4 linked regions of the Daphnia pulex genome follow. The protein of the gene in region 2 purifies or fractionates together with the protein of the main gene of each other region. This does not show direct contact. Links are inferred from orthologs where the notes say so. Each region holds a gene or a part of one and is shown on either strand. Other genes may lie near its edges.

Evidence for each region. The genes of interacting proteins can lie anywhere in the genome.
Region 1: the proteins of bystin-like (region 2) and serine/threonine-protein kinase RIO2-like purify together in Homo sapiens (affinity purification with mass spectrometry; 3 studies listed by BioGRID and IntAct, with this or other methods). This does not show direct contact. The link is inferred for Daphnia pulex from reciprocal best matches to the Homo sapiens genes BYSL and RIOK2.
Region 3: the proteins of bystin-like (region 2) and RNA-binding protein PNO1-like fractionate together in Homo sapiens (co-fractionation; 4 studies listed by BioGRID and IntAct, with this or other methods). This does not show direct contact. The link is inferred for Daphnia pulex from reciprocal best matches to the Homo sapiens genes BYSL and PNO1.
Region 4: the proteins of bystin-like (region 2) and 40S ribosomal protein S3-A-like purify together in Homo sapiens (affinity purification with mass spectrometry; 4 studies listed by BioGRID and IntAct, counting the BioPlex papers as one, with this or other methods). This does not show direct contact. The link is inferred for Daphnia pulex from reciprocal best matches to the Homo sapiens genes BYSL and RPS3.

Annotation. Positions count from the first base shown.
Region 1 is NC_060026.1:209,352-213,224, forward strand, and holds serine/threonine-protein kinase RIO2-like, read right to left. Parts: upstream 2,486-3,873; 5' UTR 2,380-2,485; coding exon 2,314-2,379; intron 2,253-2,313; coding exon 2,111-2,252; intron 2,046-2,110; coding exon 1,877-2,045; intron 1,817-1,876; coding exon 1,607-1,816; intron 1,545-1,606; coding exon 1,353-1,544; intron 1,292-1,352; coding exon 1,199-1,291; intron 1,138-1,198; coding exon 549-1,137; 3' UTR 501-548; downstream 1-500. Other genes in the region: mitochondrial mRNA pseudouridine synthase RPUSD3-like, read left to right, coding at 1-468. UniProt on the Homo sapiens protein: Serine/threonine-protein kinase involved in the final steps of cytoplasmic maturation of the 40S ribosomal subunit. Involved in export of the 40S pre-ribosome particles (pre-40S) from the nucleus to the cytoplasm.
Region 2 is NC_060024.1:1,298,082-1,301,731, reverse strand, and holds bystin-like, read right to left. Parts: upstream 2,484-3,650; 5' UTR 2,342-2,483; intron 2,285-2,341; 5' UTR 2,282-2,284; coding exon 2,171-2,281; intron 2,090-2,170; coding exon 1,961-2,089; intron 1,906-1,960; coding exon 1,813-1,905; intron 1,741-1,812; coding exon 1,599-1,740; intron 1,542-1,598; coding exon 1,392-1,541; intron 1,323-1,391; coding exon 1,096-1,322; intron 1,032-1,095; coding exon 823-1,031; intron 748-822; coding exon 543-747; 3' UTR 501-542; downstream 1-500. UniProt on the Homo sapiens protein: Required for processing of 20S pre-rRNA precursor and biogenesis of 40S ribosomal subunits. May be required for trophinin-dependent regulation of cell adhesion during implantation of human embryos.
Region 3 is NC_060025.1:6,663,209-6,667,375, reverse strand, and holds RNA-binding protein PNO1-like, read right to left. Parts: upstream 2,772-4,167; 5' UTR 1,462-2,771; coding exon 1,104-1,461; intron 999-1,103; coding exon 861-998; intron 809-860; coding exon 567-808; 3' UTR 501-566; downstream 1-500. Other genes in the region: putative mediator of RNA polymerase II transcription subunit 26, read left to right, coding at 1-397; dystroglycan 1-like, read left to right, coding at 3,585-3,830, 4,166-4,167. UniProt on the Homo sapiens protein: Part of the small subunit (SSU) processome, first precursor of the small eukaryotic ribosomal subunit.
Region 4 is NC_060025.1:408,678-411,848, reverse strand, and holds 40S ribosomal protein S3-A-like, read right to left. Parts: upstream 1,825-3,171; 5' UTR 1,712-1,824; coding exon 1,679-1,711; intron 1,475-1,678; coding exon 1,391-1,474; intron 1,331-1,390; coding exon 1,095-1,330; intron 1,031-1,094; coding exon 843-1,030; intron 781-842; coding exon 593-780; 3' UTR 501-592; downstream 1-500. Other genes in the region: general transcription factor IIF subunit 2-like, read right to left, coding at 3,080-3,171. UniProt on the Homo sapiens protein: Component of the small ribosomal subunit. The ribosome is a large ribonucleoprotein complex responsible for the synthesis of proteins in the cell. Has endonuclease activity and plays a role in repair of damaged DNA.

The DNA of each region.
Region 1 (3,873 bases), on a different chromosome or scaffold from region 2:
ATCATGAAAGAATACAGCAAGAAGAAAGTAGCTGAAAACCTTGTCCAGGAGTACAAAATAAACTACAAAACGTTATCCCATGGAGATGGACCTTGCAGTCTGGTGGAAATCAATGTCTCGTCCGTCAAAAATCACTTTTTGCGTGTGTACTTTGCCCACCTGTTCTCACCTATTCTTGGAGATCACATATTCGGCAATCGCGTTCAAGAAATCAAAGGCAAACGTTTAACCATCAGCCCCGTTCAAGCTGACTACTTGTCAAACTTTCAGAAAATCCCTGCAGCCATTTTAGCTCGACTTAAGGTGGTTGAAAGTGGATCAGTACCCAATTGTCTTCATCTAAGTCAAATTAATCTGGCAAATTTCGCCAGTCGAAATTCAAATTTAGTTCTTAAAGCTGAACCTCCTCCTGGTTTTCAGTTCATCTGTGAGACCTTTGGTTTAAATTTGCCCAACTCTAATGAATGACAACTTTTGTAAATAAATTTATAGTAAAAACATTTGTTTTGTTAACAACTCAGTGTATATGTCAAAGTAAGTTACAATTTTCAATTGTCCCATCCCCAGATACCATCAGAACGAATCATATCTTTATTTTCTCGCTTCTTTCGGGTGGCGGCACTTGCTTCACCTTTGGCGCGTATTCTCTGCACTGCTTGCATGTTCTGTCGCCTTGTTATGGTGCTCTTCACTCTCTGTTTGATGACATCCGGATGGATGGTCGACATGGAAGCGGTACTGCCAGCTCCGCTTCTCTTGGTTTTGATGCCCGACCAGTCCGTCAACATCTCTGAAAGTTGTTCCACATCTTCGGCGTCTTCTGCTAGCCCTTCAATAGACACTTCTGGAACGTATTCCGGATCAAGTGGTTCGTTGATGGGCTCAAGAATTTTATTTTCAACTGGCAACGGTTCATCTGGGGTCGACTCTGCTGTGGTTGGTTCTTTCACGTCTTCAGTAACAGAAGTTTTATTTTCAGATGGCGGAACTTCTTTTGAGATTTTCTCTTCCGGTAAATCGTTGTGATCAGCTTCGACTTCATTGTCTGATTCTTCTTCATAATCTTCTTCCAATTCTTCTTCGAGTTCTTTGACATAGCCGCTGGCTGCAACCTCCACATCGATATTGGCCTCTCGCCTGTTTGAATTTACTATAAGTAATTGATATAAGTTTACGTAATTTATTGATTTCAACTTACACCACGTCACTAAAAGCAGGATATGCTTCCCCCTCAAAATTGAAACGTCGTTTGAAGAAATCTCTGAGGCATTTCACGTCGCGGTCGAAAAACCTTGAAACAAAATTCCGATTACAAACAAAACTGTTGAATTTTTAATGAAGGGCGAAATTACTGTTCAGCCTCGACATGACTGGTGGACACCATCTGTGGGAAATCAATCAGAATGGGCTTCTCATCTTCATCTATCATGATGTTGAACTCGTTGAAATCACTGTGAATCACACCGTGATTGGCCAATTTCAACAACAAATTCATCAATTCTTCAAACAGTGCACCTGCATCCTTCAGCTCTCTCAATTGGCATCTAGTGAAAGAAACGAGAATTTAGTACAAATTAATTAAATATCAAAGAAGAAATTCAATTACAGGGGGTAGCCGTTCACCAGCTCCATGAGAACACAATGACGATTAAAGTCAATGGGTTCGGGTACGGGAAATTCACGCTCGTGAAGGGCCTTCATGTAGGCAAATTCACGTGTAGCAGACAGTCGGGAAAGGTAAATCCAAGAGGCGTTGTTACGATGTTGATGGTAATCTCGTTTTTCTTTAATCTTGCGGAAAGACGTTCGCCCCAATCTGTAATTAACACAAATTATTAGAAAATTCAATATGAATTACAGGAGCACACGAAATTACCTGTGGATTTTCAAGCACAGCTGTTTTTGTTCTTCATTGCCCACCACATAGACATCAGCTTCTTTACCCACACCAATCTGATTACCAAAAGAATAAAGCACATTCTTCTTCACAAAGGTTTTAAGAGCCAAAAAGTCATAACCCAAATTGGTTAATCGGTAACCGTCATCTAAATTAATAGCAAAAAAAAATTAAAATAATTGAAATATTAAAGAATGTGACATGTTGTGTTACAATGTTTTCCACGCTCATAAGCAACCAATCGTTCTTTAGACAGTCTCATAAGGATTTTGTGGGCTCCACCACCTGCTAGCTGGGCAATTGTCGCAATCAATTTTGTGTTGACGAGCTCGTGATTTTTCATGCCCATTTCAACCTGTCAATTAAAAGTGAAGTTAAGAAGTACTGTTTTTAGTGTTTTGTAGTAAGCTACTTACAGCCGTCAAAACACGGTAGTCTTCTGTATTCAAGTAACGAAGAAGAGAAACGTTAATTTTCCCCATTTCTTAAGAAGGAAATATTTATACACGTGAAAATTTAAGGACCTAACCAACTTTGTCGCACATTGCTACACACTCACATTGGCATTGGCTGGAAATAAGTAATCGTCTGCTAGCCTAGCTACGTTGAAATCTTGAAAACTTAAAATTTTAAACTAAATTTTTCAAGTTTCAAATAATTAAAATTGATCTAATTAATCAATCGCAATCACCTTGAAAATAAGATTTTTAAATTTTTTATTTCACAGAAATCGTTCGTGAAGGTTACAATCTGACACCGGTGTATTTTCGCGACTTCTTTTCTTCAGTTTTAGAGCCACTAGACAATAGACGTGCATGGTTCTGCGCGGTTTCTTCCAGCAGGTTTGTCTTTAGATGAGATGAGTCATGAGTGTAAGCAGAGAACGGAGATGGACACTTGCGGATGTGGTTAGACTAACACGGTTTTGGAGAAGGTTTGTTCTTATGTAATTTAATTGAACGAAGTGATTTTTACTAATTTGGAACAAATATTTTTGTTTATTACTGTAGTCAATTTGTGTCTCAGAAGTCAGAACGTTCAGCAAGTCATACCACGACGTAGAGCTGTGTTTCACTGGTTTTAGACGTCGGCTTGCAATGAATCCTACGGTAAATCCATTCAAGTTAAATTGTACCACTGTAAGATTACTTGTGAATAATTTTAGAAAAAAGGACGTTGAATTGTTATAAATCATGTTATGGCATATGCAAGTAGTTGCCATGAGAGAAACCTTTGTGGTTTCTTCCAGGTTCATCCTTGAATGAGTTCAAGTTAAAAATATTCGTATAAAACTTGATAATTTGAATAAGGAATGTAATTTCACTAACTTTAATCCGTATAGTCAGTGTTTAACAGAACGTATAAAGTGCGTCACACCCACGTAGAGCTGTTTCAGTTAAGATGTCTAGAAAATCGAACACGAATTCTATCCCGTAAGCATATTCAAACTAAATTGTTATGTTGTTAAATTACTTGCGAATAATTTGGGGAATGAAAAAGGGTTTGGATTAATTGATAGTAACCTTCATACTTTGTGCTTTGTGGGCTAATGTGACCGTCGTCACTGAGAATATGGCATTGACTTTTTCATGCCACGTGATGGCTCCCAGTGGGCAGTGCTATTTTCCTGTTGATTTATTTAACGATTCAATGTTTTTTACTTGCGGTGTTTTGATTATGTCTATAACGAGTATACGTACACAATATTTTGAGGTGTCACCAAGATCTCGGTTTTCGAGTTTATCCCTGGTTAAATTGGTTAAGTTTTCGAATCCACATTTAATGCAGTGCATGAGTTTCAAACGAGTAAAATAGGACGAAAAATCTTATGAAATAATGGCACACCAACACAAGAACACATAAGACGGAAATTGGTCGTATTTTTTTGCATAATTTGTTTCTTCCAAAATTATTAGGCTTTTTATGTCTTCCTTTTCTTTTTTTTAAAGTGCACAGTGCACACTCGCTACATGTGA
Region 2 (3,650 bases):
ACATAATTTGCCTTTCCCCCCCCCCCTCCCCCCTATGAATGTTGGTATCAGATCAAACTTATATCTTGTTAACCAATCACTAGTTAATAATGGTTTCACTCAAGGCGTGTATAATCAGTCGCAGTTTCTACCTTTTGTGTTTTCACCGTCATGCTTAAGCGTTTCGTTCTTTAACCTCGTAAAATCGTAACAAGTCCGAATGTATTTTTGGCTGACAGTTTTTGAAGGGATAGGGAAAAGAGATGTGTGTAATATCTCTTTCAATGTTTTCCGAAGTGCCTTGGAAATAAAGAACGTATATTAACCTATATTGAAATTGAATTGGCTTATGTTGCTTTTAGTATCGCAAATCGATATTCAGCGATGATATTTCGTTCAACTGATGATATAACATCTAAAAATACGAATGTTCCAAAAATCCGTTTCATAACCACAGGTAAGATCTCATTCCATCTTGACTTCTCATAATCAAACACTGTTTGCTAGGAATAGAAAACAAATGAATTCAGACGCCGAGTTTATTATTCACAGTATCTTTCATTTTAATCTATCATTTCTTCATCTCTGCAAGAGGAGTGTAACAATTCACGACGGATTTCTGGTGTTAATGTATGATGTTTGTGAACGGAAATCACTTGAAGCAACGCTTCTTTTTGTTCACTACTAAGATCAGCCTTGTATCGTTGACTGAAGGTTAGAAGTGATTGATGCCACAAAACAGGCATTTCCCTTGTATCCAGCTGAAATCTACATGCAAACAAAGGAAAGATTAATTAACAAGAGTTACAATCCAGTATTTCATAAAAAGTGTAAATATATTACTTTACGAAATGATGAACAGCTGCGTCAACCACACGATACGGCAAAGCGTATTTTTTGTCGAAGAATATTCTCAAAAATATCGAGTTCGATCCACTATAATTCATTTCAGCAAGTTTCAAGATCGCTGCAGCAGAGTGTAGAACGGGAATGGAACAGCGAGCAATGACGGAACCAATAATTATGGCTTCTCTTAAAGTGCAAGTCCCACTCTGCAATTAAATATGAAAATGTATATGAAACAATTTGAAAATATGAAAAACAATCTAACACAACCTCGCAGATCGGAAGAAGAAATCCCTTAAAAAACGCGCCAGGTTTAAAGAGGGCTTTACGTAAGGCTTGATAAAGATGAAAATTAAGTTTTTTGAACTCGGCAATATCATCACGAACACGTGGCAGAAGAACCAAGTTAAAAAACCGCTGGGCCATTTTTTCTGTCAAGTTGGATGTGAATATTCGTGTAGCAGCATACATGGCGGCGGCACTCCATTTCTCCGGATCTAAAAGCAGAACATACAAATCAGTTTTTAAGTTTAATTGCAATTATACCAAACAGAAAATCTTATTACCAGTAATATACAAAATTTGCTCCCAATTTTGCAATGAAGGAATCAGTTTGAAAGCTTTGGGTAATTTTCCACTTCGATAGCGATGTAAAACTGATGCCACACCCAGGTACAACGATTTAACTCGAGGATCCACATCTTGAAACTTGACGCCTTAAATGTTATCAAGTTATTTCTAGTCCATTTAAATCAAATAAATTTGCAACTTACTTTCAATTTCAGAAAATTGACTCTGGATCTCTGTCTGTTTTTCTGTTATTTTTTCTAAAATTATGTCTGCCAGAGTTCTCCTTGGTGCTGGGTTGGGATTCATAAACAATGCCAGGGCTTTTTCATCCTCTTCATCAACTTGCTATAGAGAATACAGTCAACCATCAGTATCTTAACCATCATCTTGATATGATTAATAAGCAGTTAACCTTACCACATCTTCCTCAAATTGTGAATCCTTTTCAAAGTCTGATTCTTCACTGTTTCCATCTCCATCTAAATCTGCTCCTAAGGAAGTGGCTCTTGCCTAGTAAACATAAAATTAACCAAGTTAATAAAACTTTGAGCAACGTAGAGCTTACTTTAAACGAAGAGCCAGTTCCTTCAATTTCTTCTTCAAGTTCTTGTTGTTGTTGATGGGCTTGTTTCAAAATCCTTGCTGAGAGTTTATCATCAACAAACTCATCATCTGCATCAGTTCTCCCTCTGACCTATTGAAACAACCAAAATAGATACACCTATTAATTCACAGAAGTCTCTTGAAGCAATAAAAATATTTCAATTAAACTTACCTTGACTCGCCCTTTACTTGAGGCAATTTCTTCTTTTGAAATCTGTTTGTCAAGACCTTCAGTTCTTCCAGTTCCTGTCTTTGAAACTTTCAGTCTCTTTGCTTTACCCATTTTCTATTGATAACACACGTAAAGACTTGGATTGCAATGAAATTACTAGTTACTACTTACTAGTATCTATGAGCGGTAACCTCACAAATGTTTAGACAACACGTGGGGATGTAAATTGTGTGTACAGTAACCTAGAATGTAGGCGGCCCGAATTTTTTGAAGATGTGACATCGCCCCCTGTGTCGTGTCGCAAGCAGCACCCCTATGAGGAATTCTCTGTAGCTATTTAAATTCAGAGAAAAAATTAAAAGATAGAATAGACCATCTCCCAGTTCCAGCCAATCTTTATATTTTTTAATTATTAAATATATTATTTTAGCTTAAGGATTCTTCTGAATCGGAAGGGTTTTACTTTTTTTCGTTACTCCTGAGTTTACCTTGCGCAAAAAACGGAGAAAAAGTATTGAATTAGTTACGGAGAAAAAGTATAACTTATTTAGGAATCAACGCGACGTACACGCCGTTTATAACAGAATCTCAAAATTCAAAATAATTTTTACTCCTACGGTCCTACCTCTCTTTTATAAGCCACGTATACTATGTAATATTCTATGTAGCTTATGTGTAACAACCATATTGCTACTATAGCTTTATGTTAGCAGTGTTGATATAGAAATTAACACGTGAACCTGTTTGCTGCAAAGAACGCTTTGTATTGCTACTCGCCTAGCCACAATCGTCAACAGCACTGAGTCCCCCTCTCTTATTCCTTTGTCTGGGTAGGTCCTTCTCCCCCTCTCTTCTTTCCTGGCTATCCTGCGTTGCCGCACTGTCCAGTTTGTTTATCTTTTATACTCAACACCTCCCCTCAAACTGGACCCCCAAAAATAAACATGAGCACAGAATACACAGCATATTTGAATCAGACATAAATACTAGGTTCAGTGTCACAAGACAAATAATAAGAAAAGAAATATCAGCCTCCTTTAACTCTTCAGTTACACCTCCCCTACACCCCGAACGCCAATCTTGTCACGGAGATACTTGAAGCGTGGAGCAGCCAGGGGTTTCGTGAGTGCATCGGCCAGTTGCTCCTGGGAGCTTACATAGTTTATCATCTCTTCTGTCATGTCGATCGTAACGCTTCCTTTTTCTGTCCGCTTCTTCTCCTTCTCTCTCACGCCGGCGTTTGTATTGACGGCATTGAGCTCTAACATGCGTAGTGGAGTTGCACTCCCAGCATGTTCTCGGTATACCAGCATGTTGACTGGAAGGGTGGCTTTTTCCTTTGTTCTGACCGTACTGGGCAGGAAGTGCTTGCTCTTTGTGCTGTGATTCATCTCTGTTCGGCTTACTGAGATAGGCAGTATCAGATGTCGATTTTGCTTCTTCGTCGTTGCGCAGGCTCTTGTCCAATGCTATAAGGCGA
Region 3 (4,167 bases), on a different chromosome or scaffold from region 2:
CCAGCAAACCAAAAACGGAGCAACTTCTGGACAAAATCGATCCACTACCGAGATTAGTTTGGTGCCTCCTAATACGACCTCATCAACTCAGTCTTCCTGTTGTAAGGAACCTACTGCAATATCGATGGAAAAAGCAACTTCATCTGGCAGCGAATTTTATATTCCTATAGTCGACTTGAAGCGACTGGATGTTATTTCTAAACTTGAATCAATGGGCATTAATCAGTTTATTCCCGCATCCAATTTGACGTCTTGCAATGGTCACAATAACTTAGCCATACCTATTATGTCAGCTGCAGCTCTTCGGAAGTCTGGGACGACGACGGGGTTCCCTAGTCTCTGTGGGGTAGTTAATCTCGGCATTCCTAAATCATTTTCCTCGACTCTTCCCAAGTAACTCGCTTCTAACTATTAGCAGTAACTTTCTGCTAACTATTAGCTTCTCCACATGTTACCTGTAGTAAACCTCGCGACTTTTCTTTTATGATAATACAATTTTATACCATGAGTTCATTGAAGTGTATTGGAAAATGCCAATAGTCTGTTTTGTACAGTGTAACAAGTCTTTAGAAACGATCAGATGACCTACTAGCAACGGCTCTCAAATTACCATAAACTTTAGAAGGAGGGGAGCCCAAAATAAGATTACAAATAGCTCTTTTAGCAATCTGAATGTTTTGGTATGAACCAAGAATATGAATTTTCTGATCAGCCAAAACAATTCTTGTCTTCGTTACGTTTTCAATGGTGAATTTTGTCCGACCACCCTTTCCTGCCAATCTTCCAATTGCTCTGTTCAAATGGTCACCTAAGAAAACACATTAGCCACTGTTTGCAACTTAAAAGTAATACTTTAATACCTTTAAGAGATGATTTGACATCTTTGATCTCAAAAGAATCAACAAAGAGATCATCAAGACGAATCAGAGCCAATGCATCTTCTACTTCAAACCCACAGATGAAAGCCTTCACGAAATCAGCAGCCTTTTGAACATTTGCTGTAAATGTGATAAAAATATATAAATAAAATAATTCAAGTAAAAAAAAAACTCTTTGCCAATTAAAAACAAACAGAATTATTAAACACAAATGTAATTTTGTACCTATTTCTTTAGTGTCCTTGCATGTTCGAAGCTCAACTTGGCGATTCTTCAAATTGAACCTGATTTGAAGATGAAGATGTTCAACAATAGGAGTAAAAAGTTTCATCCAATTTTCTTTCAATGGAGAATATCTGTGAGCAGGCACAGATATTTTACGTATTTCGACTCCGTTCTCCAACTTTTCTCTCTTGATAGGGGGGAAGGCGGGTCTATCCACAGCAGTCTCTTCCGACACCTCCATTGATGTACTTTCATTTTTCTCCGCATTTTCAGGCTGAATAGCTTTGCGTTTCGCAGCTTTGCGTTTAGGCACTTTTACAAAATCACTGCTAGACTTTGTTTGGTTACTGACTTCCATTGTTACTTAAGATAGATTACCACGTGTATCTATTAGAACTCAGAAAAGTCAAAAGAAGCTTTGGGTGGGCAGACGAAACTTATTTTTACTGAGCTCTCTCTAACGAGTAACGGCTGTACTATCGGCTAAAGACACCTAGCGGTATTTATCAAAAACTTGTCTTTGTCAAAATAAAAAACAAATCCTTGATCCTTCCTGCTTTTTTTTTTGTTTTTTCAATCTATCAAAATCAGAAGTGACCCCTATAATCTCATGACGAGACGTCGAAAGAGCTCAGATTTGAACGAAACTATCGTTGAATGTTCCATAATAGCCTACTCAAAAACCTTCAATGGTGTGACTCCTTTTCGAAAAATCCAGAAAAACTAAACAAATGGAATCGGGATTTTTTTGTAATCTCGTTGAAGCGTCGAGCTCTTGGGAGGTGGGAAACAGTTTCAGCTTTACGTTGCTCTCAGCCGTGTAATACGGTTTATCTATTTTGGTTTGGTAATTCTAAGCGCATCCAATACCATATAAGAAATAAGCTTTTCGACTTTTCTTGTCGACAACTTTGTTTTTTAAATTGAATTCGGGGGAAAAGTTCTCGTGTAGGAATGCTGTGTCTTTTCATGAAGTAATCATTCTTCATTCTTTCTTCAGAAAATATAGTATTGGTTTGAATATGCTGGGGCCTCGTATTTATTATTATTAATTCACAAAGCGGAGTCGGGCGGACTTTCTATTATATCTATAACCATCCTCATACCATGTTATAACTGTGACTAGGACCTTGGTCACTAGCTGTCAATTTTTTACTCTACTGATTTTTTTATCATCAGACGTCAAACCAGAAATCACTGAAAGTCGCGTGAATATGTCTGAGCGGTCATTATTGCTGGGATTATTTACTGGGATTCATTTGATTCAGCTCATCCCAGTTGCTTCTGTATGTATTTAAAGGCTTGTATTTAATTTCCTCTTTAAGTGTGTTTAGTTTTAGTAGTAGTGAGAAGCTTTTAAAACCTGTTGGCACTCTAACCTGATTGCAACAATTTATTCTTAAGAAATAATCTATCACTATGCGAATGGTGGCCTTGTTCTTGTCACGAATACCAGCCTGTGCCTAGTTAACTGTAAGCTGTATTCGTGGGCTATCTGTTGGCGCGTTCGTGTTAAGTTACAACACGACCGTGAAAACCGCATAGAACCCCATATACAGGCCGTTACCCTTATAAGGCCCCCTTTTTTGGTTGCTTCTTCCCTGGAATATGCATAAGACTATTAGTCTGAAGCATCCGGTTTTCGACTTAAAGTACAAGAGGGAAAGGAGATGAATGACTTCGTGTCGTTATTTTTGTTCGACTCGAAATGCTGCGCGATCTAATATTGTAAATCAATCTTTTGAACATCAATGTCCGGTCGTGAGTAAACTACTACTGAACCAGTAATGTCCTCCGACTTCCCGTTTCCAGTCGTCACTGAGCTATATTGCTGAAACTTGATTCTACCATGGGTTTTGTGTTGTGTGTCGTCGAGACACTTGAGATTTAAAAAAAGAAAGAAAAAAACTAGTCGATGTTCGACGGCTTGGAACTTGCTTTAGACAGAAGAGGCTTCGTGTTTAGTATTCTTCCCCTCCCCTTTTGCCCAGTCTAGTCTCAGTCCTCCCCTGAAATGTATCGGATTCGGTTGTTATAGAAGTGCAGCTGAAGGCCATAATACTTGTATTGGTAAGTCCATAAAGTTAGTTAAAATCATTGATATTTAATAAGACTGGGTCGTGTCAAATTCTTCTCCCTTTTGAGTTGGTTTTTATCTTGATTGTGAACACCGATTAAGTGGAAAGAGGCTCTAAATGTGCTCATGTACCACACCCGCAAGGCATTTTTATGTTAATCGCGTCATCGTTTACATTACACCAACTTCCCCTCTTTGTGGGTATTTTTCGCCTTTTCGTTTCCCTAGCTGCTTATTCTCGCATCTCAACTTGGGGGGAGAGTCTGTCTCATGGGAGAACTTTTGTACTGCATAACTAGACAAATATATAAATATTAAATTATTTATATTACCTTTGTTTTTGTAGATGCTGCAGCTGCTGGCATAGATTGTTGAAGTTTCCTTGAACCAACTCACACTTTCTCATGCTGTCAACAAAAATGCCCAATCCGTGGATTTTCTTTCTGCTGAGTGCCTTTTGCTCAGTCCAAGGCAGCTTTAATATGGAACCTGTTCGAAATCCAGTTCTAAATAGGCTTGATATTCCTGCTCAGCTGAACCATCATCAGCAGGATTTACAACTGCAAGACCATAAGAATATTCCTGATGTCACTGTTGAAGCCGGCAAACCATTCATCATAAATCTACCATCGCAGACTTCTATGGCTGAGGTGATTGCAACACTAAACAAATGTTCAGAATTTTCTTGACGGAAGTAGGGAGGTGGTTTAGAGTTGCATGAAAAGCATTGGCACCATTTCAATGGAAGGATGTTATCATGTTGCTATTGGATGACTATCCCATGTCATGACCCCTACCCCTTCTCAACTCCCCCACCCACCCAAGAGGATATCTGTGTAATTGCAAGACATTTGATATGCTAATGATTGCGACATGTCCGTTTATCTTTAGTGGAATCGTCGGAGTCGTTCCTAGAATGTTTTTATTTTTCAAAGTTCGTTATTTATTTTTGTTCTTTGTTTTGATGTTTGTTTTTTTCCCACAGGT
Region 4 (3,171 bases), on a different chromosome or scaffold from region 2:
CTTTCATCCTGAATCACCAAGAAAATGCTTAAATGTCAATGCTCACGTAAGCTCTTAAATACACTAGATTAAGAAAATTAAAGAAAAGTTCTTACCTTTCCAGTAACACGAGTAACCACAACATCGACAATATCGGTAACATTTCACTTTAACTTTTCTTCATGAGATGGATAACGATAAAACAATTATAAATTAACAAACTGCAGCAGCTCTGCATTGAACCGTATTTTGAAGTTCACTGTCGGCATGTAGTGCACAATTATTCTACGAGAACTATTTTCAGCAACCGACACGTTCAATTGCAGAACCACTTACTGAAATAAGTCTCACGCCGACAGCGGTAGTTGGAAAACCTTGTTTTTCACGCAGACCTTACTCTAATTTACTAAGATTTTTTACACATCAATTCTTGGACTTGCTTCATTACCTAAATTAATTGGTAAGTTTAATTTGAGCGTAAAAAGAAAAGTAGGGTGTAGGATAATAAATAAAACACAACCTTGACCAGGCAAAGCATGTATTTAACTCTCGTTTCATATTGGAAACTACGGTAGTTAATCGACACCAGCCCAGTAAATAGACGAAACACTCCTTAGGCAGCAGCTTGGGTGGGAGGTGCTGCTGCGATGTCGGACATCTTGGCTGCTTTAAGTTCCTCTGCGATGTGTGTCTCATCTTTAGGTTCCAGGATGGAAACATTGTCTGGCAAAGGTCTCTTGGGTCCGTTCTTGTTGTTGGGATCCCACGGCAACATGATCTTAACCTTAATACCAAGTACTCCTACAATAACAAAGATGATTAGAAAGATTCCTCCCAAGTCAATATAATGCACAATAAATTACCCTGGCGAAGCAAGACGTGTCTGACGGCAGTGTCGACGTAGACGTTGGTGGGTTCTCCACTGTGGATCATCAGACCATCGACGAACTTCATGCTCTTGGCTCGCTGACCTCGAAGTTTGCCAGATACAACAACTTCACAACCCTTAGCTCCAGACTCCATGATGAAACGGAGAACACCATAACAAGCTCTGTGTAACAACACATTACATCAGAAATGCACTATTTAAACGTCAGCCTATTGAATTAGCTTACCTGCGAACAGCCAAACCACCAATGAGTTTGTAGCGCAGGGACTCAGCTTGGGCAATAGCACACAAGCCACGAGTAGCAACCTTCTCAGCATAGAGCTCAACAGTTCCCTCTTGGAAGCCAAATCTCTTTTGGACAACAGATGTCAACTCGCGAATGCGACGGCCTTTCTCACCCAAAACATTCTGGGTACGTGTAGCCAGAATGATGATTTCTGTGCGAGTGGGGGCAAGGCGCACCTAATAGGAAAATGGGTTTTAGATATCTACACAGTAACAAAATAATTTCACAAGAATTACCTCAACTCCAGAATAACCATCTTCGGCCAATTCACGGGTCAAGAAGGCGTTCAATTCAGCCTTGAAGACACCTCCCGCCACAAACTGTAATACAAAATTATAAGAAAATTAGGTAAACTCAAGCACACTGACAATAGAAACATGTCAAGCCAAGACGAATTTTATCCTCCAAAATCTTTCACATCCTGGTTAGAAACTGTTCTATTTCATCAATAACACCTCAATATTCAAACGGTGAATATGTGAGAACAAGATGAAAAAGATTCACGTGTTGAAAGAATTACTTGCCTTTCGTTTTTTCGAGATCTGAGCCGTAGCCATTTCACGTATTTTAAGACCGGTCTACGAGAGGAAGAAGGAATACACAGTACTTTTTCTGTAGACGAAGTTGACAAGCCCAGCATTGCCTCCTTCTCAACCCCCTCTTTCGGAATTCATCTTCCCACATAATTTATTTCAGTTTGCTTTTTAAAATTTTTTCAACTATCATTATAGAAATAATAAATTATAAACAAGTTTAATTGGTTCATATTTGTTTAAAAGATTTCAAAAGTTTTATTGTAGATTTTCCATCTGTCAACTCCGACAGGAAGTCCGAAATTCAACAGCGTTGGACGAAATCAAATGTTATAAGTAGGACTGTAAAACGCCATTTGAAGCATGTGAAGCTCCCCCATCTGGTTTGATTGCTGCTAGCCAGTTTTGTATTCGTTTCGGTAAATATCTTATTTAATTCATGCAACTAAGACTGAATTTTGCATTCCTTTGAACCACACTAGCTCTACTTAGCTTATAGTGGCCAAGCGGACATGCTAAATTAAAATTTATTCTGATCTACCGTTGTCTCCTTATTTGGAACACATGGATTGAACCGAATTAAAACATTTGATAGTAGTAACATAAAGTAATTGATGTTGAAGGCACTGAGGCACACTGTGGATAATTTGTTGAAGTGTGCTTTAAATGGTTTTCTATGATGTTGAAATGCTAATTCTTATTCTGTTGTTGTACAGGAACCCTCACATCGCTACCTGAAGTTGCAGATTTCCTGGTGAAATAATTCTGTTTGGTGTATTTTATAGTATCTATATTGACAAATAAACAATTTTTAAAATTACATTCTGGCAAATTGTAACTAGTGAAAATTAAAACAAATTAATTTGTAGATAACTATATTCAGCGTTAAATTGTTGGTTGAATCATGGTTGGATGATGAATCTCATCAAGAGACAGGCTGTTGCTATTCTAATAGATTATGGCTTTTGACTGAGATAATATAATGTTAACTGTAAGTAGGGTACCATGAAAAGCTGTAAATATTAACATGTAACCTTTTACTTGATTCTTGTTTTTACAATCTTACGATTCTGTTTAAAAGGGGTTCCTCGTTAGCACATAAGCCTACTTTTCGCACTGAACTCGCTCATGAAATCATTTCTTCCTGATATGGTTGGGATAAATTATATTGGTAAAATTTTCAAGTTCGCATCGATGTATTGGACCACACACTTGTTAGCACGGGAATTTTTAGACGAAGGGAAAATTGTAGCCTAAGAGAACATTTTATCGAACAATTTCAAGGGCAGTTGAAACCCATTTGAGTTATCTGAAGTTATGTGCATCCAAGAGCTGTTTAGTAGTTTTCTGAAAATCACAGCTTTATTAGAAAGTTAATGGACTGTTTACTTATTAGTCCTTGTCTTCATCTTTGTAGTGGCGGTATTCCGGTTTCAGTTCCCACATGTTTTTGTGAGGATTCTTCAAATTGTATACACAAACAT